Danio rerio: one gene and its partners. The protein of the gene in region 4 interacts with the protein of the main gene of each other region in a pairwise test. Links are inferred from orthologs where the notes say so. Each region holds a gene or a part of one and is shown on either strand. Other genes may lie near its edges.

The links.
Region 1: the proteins of sumo1 (region 4) and zcchc7 interact in binary tests that used the Homo sapiens proteins (3 or more experiments, as listed by UniProt). The link is inferred for Danio rerio from reciprocal best matches to the Homo sapiens genes SUMO1 and ZCCHC7.
Region 2: the proteins of sumo1 (region 4) and sall1a interact in a two-hybrid assay, tested with the Homo sapiens proteins (2 studies listed by BioGRID, with this or other methods). The link is inferred for Danio rerio from reciprocal best matches to the Homo sapiens genes SUMO1 and SALL1.
Region 3: the proteins of sumo1 (region 4) and sox2 interact in binary tests that used the Homo sapiens proteins (3 or more experiments, as listed by UniProt). The two-hybrid records come from large-scale screens. The link is inferred for Danio rerio from reciprocal best matches to the Homo sapiens genes SUMO1 and SOX2.

Annotation. Positions count from the first base shown.
Region 1 is NC_133176.1:23,284,506-23,288,756, reverse strand, and holds the start of zcchc7 (zinc finger CCHC domain-containing protein 7), read left to right. Parts: upstream 1-1,451; 5' UTR 1,452-2,010; intron 2,011-4,251.
Region 2 is NC_133182.1:37,584,707-37,588,804, reverse strand, and holds the start of sall1a (sal-like protein 1a), read right to left. Parts: upstream 2,801-4,098; 5' UTR 2,772-2,800; coding exon 2,699-2,771; intron 1-2,698. UniProt on the Homo sapiens protein: Transcriptional repressor involved in organogenesis. Plays an essential role in ureteric bud invasion during kidney development.
Region 3 is NC_133197.1:39,474,721-39,478,748, reverse strand, and holds sox2 (transcription factor Sox-2), read left to right. Parts: upstream 1-1,442; 5' UTR 1,443-1,665; coding exon 1,666-2,613; 3' UTR 2,614-3,528; downstream 3,529-4,028. UniProt on the Homo sapiens protein: Transcription factor that forms a trimeric complex with OCT4 on DNA and controls the expression of a number of genes involved in embryonic development such as YES1, FGF4, UTF1 and ZFP206. Binds to the proximal enhancer region of NANOG.
Region 4 is NC_133181.1:10,603,363-10,607,414, reverse strand, and holds the start of sumo1 (small ubiquitin-related modifier 1), read right to left. Parts: upstream 2,801-4,052; 5' UTR 2,699-2,800; coding exon 2,687-2,698; intron 1,921-2,686; coding exon 1,849-1,920; intron 1,707-1,848; coding exon 1,629-1,706; intron 1-1,628. UniProt on the Homo sapiens protein: Ubiquitin-like protein that can be covalently attached to proteins as a monomer or a lysine-linked polymer.

The DNA.
Region 1 (4,251 bases), on a different chromosome or scaffold from region 4:
GTTGCGGCTGGAAGGGCATCCGCTGCGTAAAAACTTGCTGGATAAATTGGCGGTTCTTTCCGCTGTGGTGATCCCGGATTAATAAAGGGACTAAGTCGACAAGAAAATGAATGAATGAATAAATTGGCCGTAGTGTATGTGTGTGAATGCAAAAGTGTATGGGTGTTTCCCAGTGTTGGGTTAGGCTGGAAGGGCATCCGCTGCGCAAAACATATGCTGAATAAGTTGGTGGTTCAATCCACTGTGGCGACCCCAGATTAATAAAGGGAATAAGCCAAAAAGAAGATTAATAAATGAATGAAATTTCAATTAAACCACATACTTCTACAAGAAGTAACAATGTTGGCTTTTTATTTCAGATGTGAACTTAAAAGTTGGGAACATAGAGATGCATCAAATTAAATTTAATATATTTATTTTATATAGAAAGCAGAGTTTTGAATTATTGTTTTAAATAATTTGAAACAATAAAATGCTATAGAGGGTAAATCTATTTTACATAAATTACTTTTAAGGGTAAAACTCAGGTTAGTGTAATAAAAAAAGATCCTTACCTTTTAACTTTACTCCTTATTCCTTCACCTAAATGTGAGATGAAAGTTGAGGGGTTAAATTAAGTCTTTTGATATGTCATGAAATTATTGTTTGAAATATGTTTAAAAAGTTTTTTTTTTTTTTTTGTAACAGTGAAGGAGCTGAAAAAAAGTTACAATACACATAATATGTATTTTAATATATGAGCACTTGTTCTCATATTTCATATTTGTTAGGAAACAATGTTATGTTCTTATATTTTCTGGTCACATATTTATTTCTATTTCTATGTACATAATTATATCATTCTTGTTTTGTTTTTAAGAAGTTTTTTGTACTATATTGTCCATTGTTAAAAACCAATAGTGACAAAACATTATTATTATTAGGCTATTAATAGCAAAATAAGCTAAACGTGTATCAATGTTCATGACAATGAATCAAATTTAGTAAATTTTTTATCTACTCTGTAAAATTTTCTCATGCCTACAGTAGGTTACATTTCAGGGACCACTGGCTCTTATTCTATCTTGTATAAAAGAAAATACAAGTAAGAACAATTCATATTCCAAATGCTCTCCTATTAACACCACGATCAGACATAGTTGTAGTTTTTTAAAACAATCCTCATATTCAGAGTCACTAATTTTCGATGCTTGTGCTAAATTTAGTTCATTTTTCCCAGGGATGACGAATAGTTGGCCAACCATTTCATGTTCCTGTGGAGTCCGGAAGCCAGTAGTGTCCCGTGTTGCAAATCGGAATTTATAAACAGGTCAGATTTTTAATCAGTCTGGTAGTAAACCTGTTCAAACGTGCCATTTGATGTAGCTGAGGTTATAAATGTTTTTAAACGACGCCGTGTCCGTGTAGTAGTAATGCGACGCGTCTCAGCCGGCGTCCATGTGTACGTGAACACACGTGGGTCTCCGAGCAGCACTTCTAGCACTGAAGCTAACACATGCTTGTCAGATTCGTGTAAAATATATATCCGCGTACATTTAATGTTGTTGAAGGACAAGTGTTTTGTTGACTTGCTGGTTTTATGCAGATATTTAGTGTTGCGGATGGTCTGACGTTGTTGGTTTTTATTGGGTGCTTTAGCTTTTCAGTTAGCATAGTGTCAATTCACTGTGGTGTTGTTTATGTGTTAAATCAGATGAGTTTATGTTTTTTGGAATTGTTTTTATGGATTTGAGGACACAAATCTCTGTCTAGGACTAATGTGGTGTTGTCAAACAGTCTCCATTTCAACTACATGCTTTTGTGCAAATATGCAAACAAACAAACAGATAAAAATGTTATTGTTATACTAGTATGTCAAAATATTTGTCCTCGAATACTCGTAAAATAATCTGACAGTGACCAAACTAAACGTTATGTTTATGTCATATTACTTTGCTTTGTAAACAGAGATCATGTATGTTATGGCCACGTTATACATGTAAACATCACTTTCGAGGGACTGTAGTGTATGTACGTTATACTGTTTTAAATTGGTCTCATATAAGCTGTTCAAGTGTGTCACGAAAGCTCTAGAGCATTTGTTTGTAAGTTTGATTAGCATTTATGGTGGTTGAACATATTAAATAAAGTTAAGTAAATAATTAAGTTGGTTTTATATTTGCATATTCTGAAATTTTCCTTAATATAATTTCAGAAAAGTATTATTAAATTCTGAATAGGAAAATCAGATTAGCAGCCAATAACTTTTAAAATACATCATTGTTTACATTCAATTAAATAGTTTTCATGTTGTTTTAAAGTCATACTTGCATGCGATTTCAGATAGAATATTCAAAGTACTTAGCTGGGTAAACAATTAGGGGACAGTTATATAGAGTATATAAGTTATTATAACACATATTAATATGTGAATATAAAACCAACTTTACCTCAGTGTTGAACATATGATGAGAACAATATTGTGTATTGTTAATCTTTGTTTTTTTTATGTTTTTGGAGAGTAAGTAAAATACATTTGTGTTTAGTTCCTAGTCTTTTTTTTCTTTAGCTTTTATATATACTGCATAAAATAATTATAACAAATGTAGAGTTCCCAAATAAATCTGCAGATGTTTTTGTATCATGCAGACTATTTCAGCAAGATATAGTAAATATATGCATCATGCGTTATTTTTGTTGAATATTCTTACAGTGATTTTGTTTGTGATTATAACATGTCTCTTGACAAATTTTATTTATGTTTATTAATGTAATAATCATAATAAGATAATCAATTATCTTATAGGCTAATAAAAACTGTGAAGGTGCAAACATTGAGAAAACACAATGGTCAGCATAACAGCAGGTTGAAATGTAATACGGCCCCATTTGATTGGCCAAATTTGGATAAACAACTTATTTATGCAACACAAAATCTTGGCGCATATGCTATTATTTTGATAATGATAAATCTACAATATATTGGGCAGCCCTGTTGCTGAAAAAAGCTTGTAAGCTTTGTCATACTCTTAAGAGGACTAAAGTGAAAGCATTTAAGTGCTCACTGTAATTCATTACATAATACCATTACTTTAACTTGCTCTCGGAATGTGTTCATTAAAAATATATAAAGGTGTATTGTAGTTTCTTTTTATATGTTATTTCTACTTCTCACAATCATTTGTAATTACAGATTCAAGTAAAGAAAAAAATTTAAGCATTTGCGATTTTAAGGCTGTTGAGTTTACAGTGGGCTTTAAATGACGCGTGTATAGTGTGCAATGATGTGAAAATAGTTAATAATAAATCATGAATTGATTTAGGATTTAAAATGTTTTACTTTGCAAAAATTTTTAAATAAAACATTGTTATTAATATTATTTTTGAATAAGATAAAATATTAGTGGGCGGCGTGTGGGTTTCCTCTGGGTGCTCCGGTTTCCCTCACACAAGTTTAAAGACATGTGCTACTACAGGTGAATTGGGTAATCTAAATTGTTCATAGTGTGTGTGAATGAGTGTATGGGTGCTTCCTAGTGATGGGTTGCTGCTGGAAGGGCATCTGCTGCGTAAAACGTGCTGGATAAGTTTGTGGTTCATTCCGCTGTGACGACCCCTAATTAATAAAGGGACTAAGTAAAAAAAAAATGAATAAAATATCAGTCAGTCAATCAATAAGGAATAGATATTTATGCTTATTATTCTATTTAATATTAATTATAATTTATAAATGTTCAAAAAGCATCAAAACAATAAATATGCAGCAAAAACATTTTTGTTGCATTAAAATGTTTAATTTTTATCATACACATTTATTTTAATTTATACATTTATTTATTTGGCAAGTTTACAACAAGGAAACTGAATATTTAGCAACACAACAAATCACTAATTGAGAATTAAAGTGTATTCCCAAAATCCAAATTTAATTGTAATTTTCCAAACAGGTGTCATACATTCAAAAAAACACCAAAAAAAGAGGATTTTTGCTGCTTGTTCAAACTACTTATTTAAAATAAGATGAATAAACACAATTCTTATGGGGTACACCTAATTGTTTTATGTTCAGTTCATTTAAATTTGTAAAAATAATTAGGTTAACTTGCGGTTGGGATATTTTATTAGGAATTTTGTGGCAGTGGCGCCCAATATTTTAACAGTGTATCCCAGTTGTTAGCAAAATGTAAACACTAAAAAAAGTGTAAATGATGAACAATCAGAGCAAAGTTGAAATTAGATCAACAAAATGTCTATAATAATAATTACAGTAAA
Region 2 (4,098 bases), on a different chromosome or scaffold from region 4:
GCCAACAGGGACAGACTTCTCACCTCAGACTAACCGTAATACTGCTTTCTAATTCCTCACACAGGCCGCAAAGCATTGGGAGAAAATCAGCTTAGTTTTCCTCAGGAGAGCAGACACTAAAGGGGAGTTTTTTCTGTACTCATTAAGTTTTGTTTTACACTAAGAGTTACGAAAAACAAAGCGTTATTAAGAAATGGTGAATTAAAAAATATAGCAGTATAACAATGTATCTAAAAAAATCAGTTCGCCTCTTGCTTTGAATGAGCTTTTTTTTTTTTGCAAAAATGTGAACTTGGTCAGATGACAGCGGTTGACAAACACTGCTATTCAATTCATTATTAAATTTGAACGGGAAAATCCAGCAATGGCATGATTTTGAAGATTTGTTTTTTCGTTTCTGAAATTCTAGCATTAATCACATAAACTTCACTTTTGAATGCATTTCTCACGGAAGACGCCAAACAACTACTTTTGCAAATCTGGGCCTGTTCTCGTATTAATTTTTAATAACATCGAGCTGATTGCTGCACATGCATGTTCTCAAATTAAGAGGGCTATATGGTAAAATAAGAGGGTGTAATTATTATTGCATCTCATCAATTATATCAGCGAAAATATTTTTTATAAAATTCTGTGGATGATTTAGACTAATTAATAGTACTGATAAATTTGTCTATATTTATATTTCATATAATCGAACATCAACACATTAAGGAAAGCCTCTGAAAGTTATGTCTTCTAATAGCAACTGGTGTCCACAGCGGCCCATGAAATTGAACAAAAAGCCGTTTATTTTATTTTCATTTAGAAGACTTGATTAGTCAATTTAAAGTGAAGATGGAAGGCGTAAACAATGTTGAATTCAAGTGTTATTTGAAGTATTAATAATCGCGATGTGCCAGTCATTAATGTCTCTATGAATCTTGTAAGAACTGAAGGTAAGCCGCAGTCAAAGAAAAGTGCTTTATTTCTATGGCATACTTTCTCTTTAGCATACAAGTATGTCACTTCTGGTAAATCAAATAATCCAGAACGGAATATTTAAGATAAAACTGATTAAAATAGATATTTTTTTTATTAGAAAATTAGTTGGATGCAGTTTCGATATGAAATAAAATCCTTACCTCTTCAGAGGTCCCATTCTAATCAGAAACATGATAGCTTACAAAACGCTGAGTTAAGCAATAGATAGGACAGTTCCCCCGACACACTCGTTTTAAAATGGTTCAAACAAGACACTAAGTGATCAAAATGTTCAGTATGCCCTTTCTATTCTTTTTATAGACCTGAGACGGCCTTTGATATGTGCAGTTTAGAAGTAGTAAAACAGGTAGCATATAAGACCTAAATTTGTAGTCAACGGCTCTTGCAAAACCTTTAGTGACTGCTTGTCTGACTTGAAGCTGAAATCTTCTCACATATTAAAAAACTATTGAATTAAATTTAGCATGAGAGCATATGCTATTAGAAAAAAGCATACTTATAGTTAGGTTCATGTCGTTACTTATATATTCAAAGTAAAATAACAAATTCATAATTTTGGATTTTCATTTGTTTAGCCTAAATGTGTATAAACTGATGCTTTAAAAGTTGTCAACGCACGGTAGGCTTTGAGAGATGAGTTGTGTCACAGTGTGGGACAGAGTGTGTCGGAAACTACATGGCACAGTTTAGTAAATCAGCTCTTGATATAAAATCTCATTTTAAAACGCATTTAAAACTGCACGTGAAAATATTAAAGCGTGTTTTCAAAATCCGTCTATTGTATAAGACAGAATTTATAATGACGCAAAAAAGAAACAAAATTATATAAGTATGAAGTCATAATAGAAAAGCTCGATTACATGAGATTATGTGATTTCGTTGTTCGATCGCCTGTGACTACATGCTGTTTAACTTTGATTCGGTTTACTATATACCTCTTTTAAAGTTTAAGAAACCTGAGAAATAATAGTAAAATATTTTAATAAAAAAAGTTTCGTTGATTTAACCAACGTTTATAAAAGTTAGCATTATATAATCTTTGATAACGGAGCGCGACAGGAACAGTGTGCCACTGAGATAAAACTGTGTAAAACTATACACAAAATAAAAGAATTGTTTAAATAATAGGTTTAATGTCGTTTCTGTGTGTTTTGGCGGTACCGAGGTCTAGAGATGCAACACAAGAGAGGAGGAGGGGGAAAAGCTGAAACCATGCGAATCCCCACTTGTGTGGGCAACTTAAACGGGCCAGAACCAAACTAATTCGATGAGTTTTAACTTTTGCCAATGAATGCTGTATGGTGAAATTTGAAAGCCTTAAAAAATAAAGTAACGCGCAAACGTCACCCAAATTACAACTGGAAACCAATTTGTTAATAAATAAACAATAATTGCAGAAATATGTTTGTTCATTGAAGAATATCACACAGAACATGCGTAAAAGTGCCTTTGTGTTAAGCACAAACTGATTTCTGACAATAGCACGGGAAGTCTAAAAGTTTCCAACTGTACTTTAAAAATACAGCAGTCCCTTCAGCAGCACAAATATTAGCTATAAAGAAAGAATACGATGACCAGTTCCTTGCCTGGGATTAAAAACAAGGGGGATTCACTCTAAAAATGTTAAAACCAACAATAATTAAAATTAAGTTATAAATCCTTTGTGAAAATAGTGCAAACTGAGTTGCTGTGTGTAATAAGGGCTTGAACTCACCATTGTGCTCGGCTAGGACCAGCTGCGAGTCGGACTGGAAATGCTGCGGCTTCGCTTGTTTCCTCCGCGACATGCTGGCTCACGCATCAGCCACGAAAGAATAAAAAATTACTATCAAATCTGCTCAAAATTACGGAAATCGAGCCCATCCACCGCGCATGTGTCCTGTTATGATTATCAATAATGCCTCGCGATTAATCATGGAAGGGAGGGGGGTGGGGGGTCCTCTGAAAGGCGATTGGCACCTTGCCAGCCCCCTATTCAAATGAAGTCTCTTTAATCAATTAGCCGCTGATTTGCTGGGGACTCTTGTCTCTCTTGCTGCTCCCACCCAATGAGTTGATCCGTGAGGAAGAAAGGCTGGATTTTCCAACTCCCTTTAGATACAGTTTAACCCTTCTTAGCAACCATCTGGTGGCCACGTTAGAGCTTAACTTAGCCACTACAGGAATGTCAATTTCTCTTTCGAAAGACCAACCGTATCTTTTGATCTGTCTGGGCATCAAAGTGGCGCTCAAAAGTTGCAATTCACCCAAAAGTGTCCGGAGACTCAAACTCTCTGCCAAAGATCTTCCTTTCCCGTGGCTTGACGTTTCGGAGCGTATCGCGTATCCTGGTTTGTGATTGGCATTAAAGTTGCTGTAATTCAGCTCCTGGATGACTGCAAGCGCACCGTTTCTCACCAATTCGCTCTCTTTCCTCAAGGCAACGGTGTTAAAAGTAGGTCGGTCAGCCGAGTTTCGTGCGTAATGGCAACTATCGGCGTCTCGAAAGTCCAAAGAATATATCAGATGTCCCAAATCAGATTCATCTGATTATTGCCGAACGGGATCAGTAACACGTTTTCATCACACGCCGCATTCAGCGAACAAACAAACTTTAAGGGCCCATGCAGAACGGTGAGAAATCCCGAGCCCCACCCCTCTGTTCTTCTATTGGCCAGTGCTCTGCTCTATCATAACTCGCGCTCTCTGTCCCTCTCGGTCTCGCACCCACCTCTCCTTCACTCTCTCACCGCGCGACCGGCAGACAGAGGAAGCGCTCGTGGTTCACAGCGCAACTCTTCAGCTGCGCGAAAGCATCCCATCCAGCCTGTTTGAAAATGATTTCGCTCAATATATATTTCGCTTTTTACGTTTCGAGGCGGTCGTGGAGAAGAGAGAGCTCGAATCTGCATTGATAAAATGTAGAAGTCGCAAAAAGTTGAAAAAGTCTGGAAACCATCAAGAAAGTGTTTGGAAACGACGGTGTGCCATTAAGAGTCAGTTTAACCAGGATGAAAACTACGTCGTTGTTTAAACTACTTATTCTTAAGACGAGGACTTGTGCTATAAGCTAGCTATATTAACAAGTTTTAAATAGTTTATTTGCAAAAATCAAAAGTTTGTATAAAAGAGCCA
Region 3 (4,028 bases), on a different chromosome or scaffold from region 4:
GACTTGCATTATAAAGGCGCATGCTGCATTGCCGTCGTGTTGAAATTCTCACGTTGTTAGTCGATTTACAAGTTTAAAACGACGCTGAGAGAGTGTTTATTTATTCATGCATGCAACCCTAAAAAAATAAGTATTATTGTTGGAATTTATGTTGTTTGTTTTGTGTAATTATTATTTTTTATCTCCCGCTAATTATATAAAAAGTACAGCGACTAAAACTTATTTATAAAGCAATCCAAAATAACTGCGTGCATGTGGAAAATGTTGAGGGAGCACGAGTTTGTATCAGTGTGACCGCAAGAGGACGCTGTTGAAACATAAAACATGCTTTCGTGGAAAAGAAAAATATAAAATAGGCATTTTTTCCTCCTGACATTAAGCCTGTTTGTATATTAGTTCCACTCTTGTCGAGTAAAGTCAACTTCTGCAGGAAGAATGATCAGCTTTTAATCGTAATTCTCGGAGAATAGATGTGTTGGGCAAAAAATAGCTCCTTGTGTTTTTAGTTATTATACAAATAATTGGATTTAATCAAAGCGCCCGTGCTCTTGTTATTTTGAAGGAGGCTGTGCTGAATAAACCCTCTCCCCCTGTCACTCTTCATGGAGTGAATCCTAATAACACAAATCCTTACAACTCAGATGGTCAGTGTAGTCGGCTTTTGTCGTGCTTTTGTTCAGAGTGATGTAATGACAACAGCCGAAACAAAACTACCTATTTGTGATGATTGACGGGCCTCCATTTTCTAATTCACATTCAGCTTGAGCCGGTTGAAGTGTAGTGGCATAAATACAGGCATGTTAGTTGGGATAATGTCTCAAGAACGAGTGTTTTTAAAATGACACCTTTTAAATTCGTGCGCCTGCGTTTACTTTATTGTATTCGTTAATAAAACAAGCCGCTGCTCATTTTTAAATGCGAACTAAATAATAAATAGCTATATTTTATTCGGCTTATTCACGCATTATTTTGGAAGTTTTTAATATTATGAGCTTGCCGTTTTAACTTAAAAAAATCTTTATTTTATTTTCAGTGCTTTAAGAGTTTAACTGATGTGTTGAATACGCAAACTTACACTAAAAACAAAGCGATAAATAATAATAGTAATAATAATAATAATAATAATAATAATAATAATAATAATACTAATAATAAAACTTTAAATGTTTATTTAGAATCTTAAGATCATACAGAGTTTGATTGGAAAATGGTTTGTGTGAAATATTCTCACTTTAGCTCTCTCATAAACACACACACACACACACACACTCACAGCCACTGCCTGTGGCTCTGCGCTGCACTGCTGACCGTCCGTAACCCCGCCCCTTTATGCAAACCGAGGGAGCAGACGCGCTCTGATTGGTCAGCGACAAACCCATTTATATTCGCTGACAGTCGCTCTATGAATGGTTGTCTATTAACTTGTTCAAAAAGTATCAGGAGTTGACAAGGGCTCTGGCGAGGAGGGAAACCGAGTTTGTGTTGATTCTTCAAGACTAAGAAAAGAAGTTTGTGGGCACAACAGGACCTAAGAGCGCTTCTTTTCCCAGCAAAGTTACCTCCAACTGCTAAGGTAACTTCAGCAGCCTCTCCACACACTTTTTGGACTTCTTTATTTTTTATTTTTACGGCTGGTGGGGTAGACTTTCGAGAAAATCGGTTTAAATGTATAACATGATGGAAACCGAGCTGAAGCCCCCGGCGCCCCAGCCCAACACCGGGGGCACGGGGAACACCAACTCCTCGGGAAACAACCAGAAAAACAGCCCGGACCGCATCAAGAGACCCATGAACGCCTTCATGGTGTGGTCGAGGGGACAGCGGCGGAAAATGGCACAGGAGAACCCCAAAATGCACAATTCGGAAATAAGTAAGCGACTCGGGGCCGAGTGGAAACTTCTGTCCGAGAGCGAGAAGCGACCATTCATCGACGAAGCCAAACGCCTTCGGGCTCTGCACATGAAGGAACACCCGGATTACAAATACAGACCCCGGAGGAAAACCAAGACCCTGATGAAGAAGGACAAGTACACCCTGCCGGGCGGGCTCCTGGCGCCGGGCGGCAACGGCATGGGCGCCGGCGTGGGTGTAGGGGCCGGTTTGGGCGCCGGGGTCAACCAGAGGATGGACAGCTACGCGCATATGAACGGCTGGACCAACGGAGGCTACGGCATGATGCAGGAGCAGCTGGGTTACCCGCAGCACCCGAGTTTGAACGCGCACAACACGGCGCAGATGCAGCCCATGCACCGCTACGACATGAGCGCGCTCCAGTACAACTCCATGACCAACTCGCAGACCTACATGAACGGCTCGCCCACCTACAGCATGTCCTATTCGCAGCAAAGCACGCCGGGAATGACGCTGGGCTCCATGGGCTCGGTGGTCAAGTCCGAGTCTAGTTCGAGTCCGCCGGTGGTCACGTCGTCGTCTCATTCCCGGGCCGGACAGTGCCAAACGGGGGACCTGCGGGACATGATCAGTATGTACCTGCCCGGGGCGGAGGTGCAGGACCAGAGCGCTCAGAGCAGACTGCACATGTCCCAACATTACCAGAGCGCACCTGTGCCCGGTACGACGATTAACGGCACGATTCCCTTATCGCATATGTAAAATGAACTCTTTTTACTACACTGCTGGACTATTTTTGTACAGAACACTTCTTTTGGGGAGGGAAAAAGTTGTATAGAGCTCAAGGAAAGAACACAAAACTTTTGCTTTCTATTTAAAAAACAAACAAACAAACAAACAAACAAACTAAAAAAAAGAGGAACGGTAGGAACTCCACACAGTTTTTGTTTTGTTCTCTTCTGATTTATTTTATTATTTTTTTAATTTAGATTTTTCAGTTCTGTTTTGTTTCCAAAAGGTGTATGAGATTTGGACATGGTTGACAAGCGGGGGGAGAATGAATCAAATGTTTTATTATTGCAATCGACTTTTTGTACAGTATTTATCTAAAAAAAGAAGCGTAATAACAACAACGAGATGTAATGTTTGTAAACAGCAGAAAGTTTTAAAAAAATTATAAAAAATTGTGCAAGAAATTGATGCACAACTGATGTTTACGTCAAAGTTTTGCAAAGGCTGACATGAAAACTGGATTTAAAGAGTTTCTCACTGAAGGTACATAGTAATAAATCATTATTATTATTATTATTATTATTATTATTATTATTATTATTATTATTATTAAGTTCTAAATGAGAGAACGAACAGAGGCACTCTCCAGCTTTTTTTAATTTCCACTTGATTATTTTCGGTCTCCCACTCTTCATCTGTTAGATATATGAAGTTTGTGTTCTTTATTTTCTCATGGTTTGTAAATTTTCTGTACATTTTCTGTGATATTTTAAGTTTTTATTTTAAAACTTTCATTTTTCGTAGTTGTAAAATGTGGCCTGTACGCAGTTGCCAACGCTCCATGTATATATTTTAACTAATAACATCATTATAACAGTTACAAGATGAGTTTTTTTTCCAATGCAGTTTGAAATGAATAAATTTTTGAAATTTGGATATTTGAAATTGCTTCTGGTTTTGATTTTGTTTACCATTTGGGTTGCAATTCTAATATGATATTTGTTGTTTGATTTACTCAAACAAAACAAACGAAAATGTCACTTATACGGTTTAATAATGTGCATTCACTAACTCTAGCTCAAACAAATGATTAACCACAAGTTTATGCATTATTTGCATTAATTTGTCTTTATAAGATGGCACACTGACACACGAGTGCAGCTTTTTGAAAGTAAGTATTCCATTGAAATTGCATGCACACGGTTAAAACTGTCTGGCTTTGTTGTTTCAGTCAAACAAATGAAATGTTAGATGCTATTTAAATTTAGTGAGTTAACACCGTTTCTATTTTTTAGTGGAAACGAGGAGCGACACCACAGCGTTTATGTTTTGCCTGTAAATCTCTGCTCTGCTTGGGGACATAAAACGGCCCAAATGCAATGAAGAACGCACGTCAAGGTAGTCATTTACTTTATAAACTCTCTATATTTTTTATATGAGTGCAA
Region 4 (4,052 bases):
TTCTGAATCATCCACCCTATGCCCTTGTCCATTTGAACACAAATACTCTGAATCATTTAAAAACATTAAAGGTTGTCTTGTTCACATTTTATATTAAAGTTATTCTTATTACAGTTCAGTTTATAAACTTCAAATTGACAACTGTGCTATCTCCATAGTGCACTCCCATAACATTTATGCCATTTTAAACGCAGCAGTGACTCGTGAAGAAAGCTACATTTACAATCAAAAACCTGTTTACACACTTCCAGCAACTGTTAAAACAAACATTTAAGGTAATGATTTTAACTTGTATAGAAAATTGATCTCTAATATACTGTAAAAATGCTATGGTCCACACATTTCTTTTACATGGCCCATCATAAATTGATTAAACTTAATTTTTTTTCATAAATTTAAGTGGGCTTAACTTAAAACAATTAAGTTGTCCTCAAGAACACAAGTTTCAGCTAATTATATATAAGTACTTTGAACAAGCCGCAAAAGTCTTTTTTTTTAGTGTATATGATATATGCAACATTTCTGCAGTGGTTTGAGTGTTTATAAAACTGTAATAGTAATTTATTTAAATACAAAAATATACTTTTGTAAAATGTAATTTCTGAAACATGTAACTTTATAAGCAACAGATAAATATAAATATATTTTTTACATCTTTGACCATATACATATATATATATATATATATATATATATATATATATATATTTCAGAATTAGATTGCATGTCATTATATAATGGGTTTATGTTTTATTTATAATAGCAGAGAGTATGATATGGAATATTGTCAATAATATTTGTAAAAGAAAGTAAATACTTGTGTCGTTGCGTTTCATTTAAGAAAGCAGAGATAAAGAAAAGCCGAGGCAAGCAAACTAAATGTTTATTACCAAAACTCATAATGGGTAAAAATATATATATATATCCTGTGTGTAACAATATTTTCTGTACCAAAACTAAAAGCATCTATTAATGTGAATTTCCTCTTAATAAATTGTTACTCCACCCCCTTTAGATGATCATTACAGACGTTTTATGTTTTAACTAACATGGTTCAAATAATTGATCTGAAAGAGAGAATAAACTGTCCAGGGGTCTCATTTATAAACATGGTATACACAAAATTGGGGGTGGAAACACGTGTACGCCACTTCTTATACAGGTTATTATGATCTATAAAAAACAAACTTGACGGGAGAATGTGCGCAGCTTTAAGTAAACACATTTCGCTTAAATATTGACTTAATTCAAGCACTTTAAATCATCATAAAAGCCATAATAATTAATAAATAAATAAAAATGTATTCTGGTGTACATTCACTTTTAGGAAAGTTTCTATGCAATGTTTTATAAATGAGACCTCAGGAACCTTAACTGAAACATACACAACTATTTAAACATTGTTTTTTGTTTCGGCAATGACGCATTAATTTGATCACAGTTAAGATTTTTACAGTGTTAGTGTATTTCTATTTGTAACAATACTCACAATAATACAGATTTTATGCATTTTTGATTGAATAAAAGTAGCATTAGTGCGTTTTTTAAAAATCCTACCCACCCCCCAAAACCTCTGAATGGTAGTGTAGATTTATCGTTATCCCTCATAAATGGAAAAACTGACTCACCTGTCTCTGACTGTAGGATTCCTTCAGCTTCTTTAAATGTGTCGTCATCTTCACTTTAAAGTGAATTTCACTGTTGTCCTGCGAAATGAAAGGAAATCATCAAATCTGTTCAGATCTTTTCATATATCTCATTATAAAAGAACAGCTGGATTGGTTTTAAACAGTAATGGGTTTAAATATGAAAACCTGCATTTCCTAGAAAACAAGTGCTTTTGCTCACCTGACCGATCACTTTGAGTTTAATGTACTCTCCATCCTTCTTCTCGCCTCCATCACTTGAGGGCTTGGTCTCCTATTAAAACAAAACAAGCATTCGATTACTGCATGTCATATTGTTTTTTTATCAGATTTAATGTAATGAATTAAAAAAATATCTTGGGACTGAATTCAATAAAATATTGACTGAAGATCGTATAAAATAAGGTAGATCCGATTTTAATAAATTATAATTATATATATATATATATATATATATATATATATATATATATATATATATATATATATATATTATATATAAAATAATATTGTGAGTGTTGTTATCATTTAAACACTAGGCTGTGTGTGTGTGTGTGTGTGCTTTGAATGTAAACACACAACCTAACGTTACTCTTCTATCGCGAGCTGTTAATACGAGCACAAACCGAACACAAACTAACGTGAACAAATAACGAATAATCCTAATGAACATATCAAAAAATCAACAATTAATAACTAATTCAAATGTTCAGCATGGTCTATCAGCTCAAGATATTATGAACTCTGCTTTCAGGGCCCAGAGCAGCTAACTAGCACACATGCTAATTGGACGATTTGAGGAAGAAATTCACATATTTTTGGCATTTGTGAACACAGTAAATTGGACTAATGTGTAAATTGCGAGAACCAGAAACTATGCACAGTTAAAAACACTCAAGCATTTTTATCAAAAATACTTTCCAAACCACAGTCAGCTAGACAGGCTAAAAGCTGGGCCCTCTTATTTTCATTTTCTATAAGTCCGTCTTTCTCGTCTGCTCTCATGAAAGTTCGATTCAGCATCACAGGTTTAGACTCACCGTGTCTGACATGATATTCCGCAATGTGCAGCCCTTCTGTAGATCAAGATTGTTTGATTTAAACGATACAGTGTTATGTACAGTAATGAGAGGTTTTGATAGTGCTACCAGCAGACCCACAACACAGCGCCGTTGACGTCATTGGAAAGGGGCTGGACTTTCTATGACACTGGGTCGATGACCCAACGAGCGTTGTTTTTCTCACCACGCTCTTTCTGATTGGCTCCAATCGCCATCTGCGATGTTGCTATTGGTAAAACATAGGGAGGCCCGTATTTTGCAAAAAAAAAAAAAAAAAAAACACATCAGTATTTTGGTCACGAAATATTAGAGTGCAAAAATAATGTGACAACTACACTACACCTCTGGAGGACGAAACCTGCAAAAGCAACAAATAAATAAATACGCAAATAAATAAATTAATTAACACATGTACAAATTCCTTCATAAATAAAACAGTAAATAAATACGCAAATAAATAAATAAATAAATGACTAAATATATACACAAGTTCCTACATAAATAAAATAATTAATAAATAACTACACGAATAAATGAATAAATACTCAAATCCCTGTGTAAATAAAACAATAAATAAATAAATACACAAAAAATAAATAAATACAAATTCTTGCATAAATAAAACAATAAATAAATAAATACACAAATAAATTAATAAATAAATAGACAAATTCCTGCATAAATAAAACAATAAATAAACATGCTAAATAAATAAACAAATGTACAAAATAAATACACAAATTAAAAAGATAAAAAATAAAAAGCAATGAATAAATAAAGTAAATAAATAAAGCAATAAATAAATAAAACAATAAATTAATATGCAAATAAAAAATCAATTAGTTAATAAATTCGCAAATTCCTGCATAAATAAAACAATAAATCGTTTATTTTATGTATTTATAACTTTTAATGCCATAGATTTTAAAAAAGACATTAAGACTAATTCAGTGGATCAAAGGTAATATAAAAAATCTGTATAATGTTACTGAACATTTTATTTCAAATACAGTTTCTTCTGAGAATTTTAGAAAGCTGAATGTATTGTGTATTTAACAGAAATATCAAGCAGAATTATTATTAATCATAGAGCACCAAGTAAAATTGACCATAACAAATTCTGAACTCTCATTGGAATATTAAACATATTTACATACAACAATACAGATATTTAAAATTGAAATAATATTTCATATTATAATTGTTTATTCATCTTTTTGTCTAAAACATTTAAATATCTTTTTTTTTTACAAAACTTTTGTTTAGTATATTATTATTATCATCATCATCATCATCATCATCATCATCATCATCATCATCATCATCATCATCATCATCCTCATTA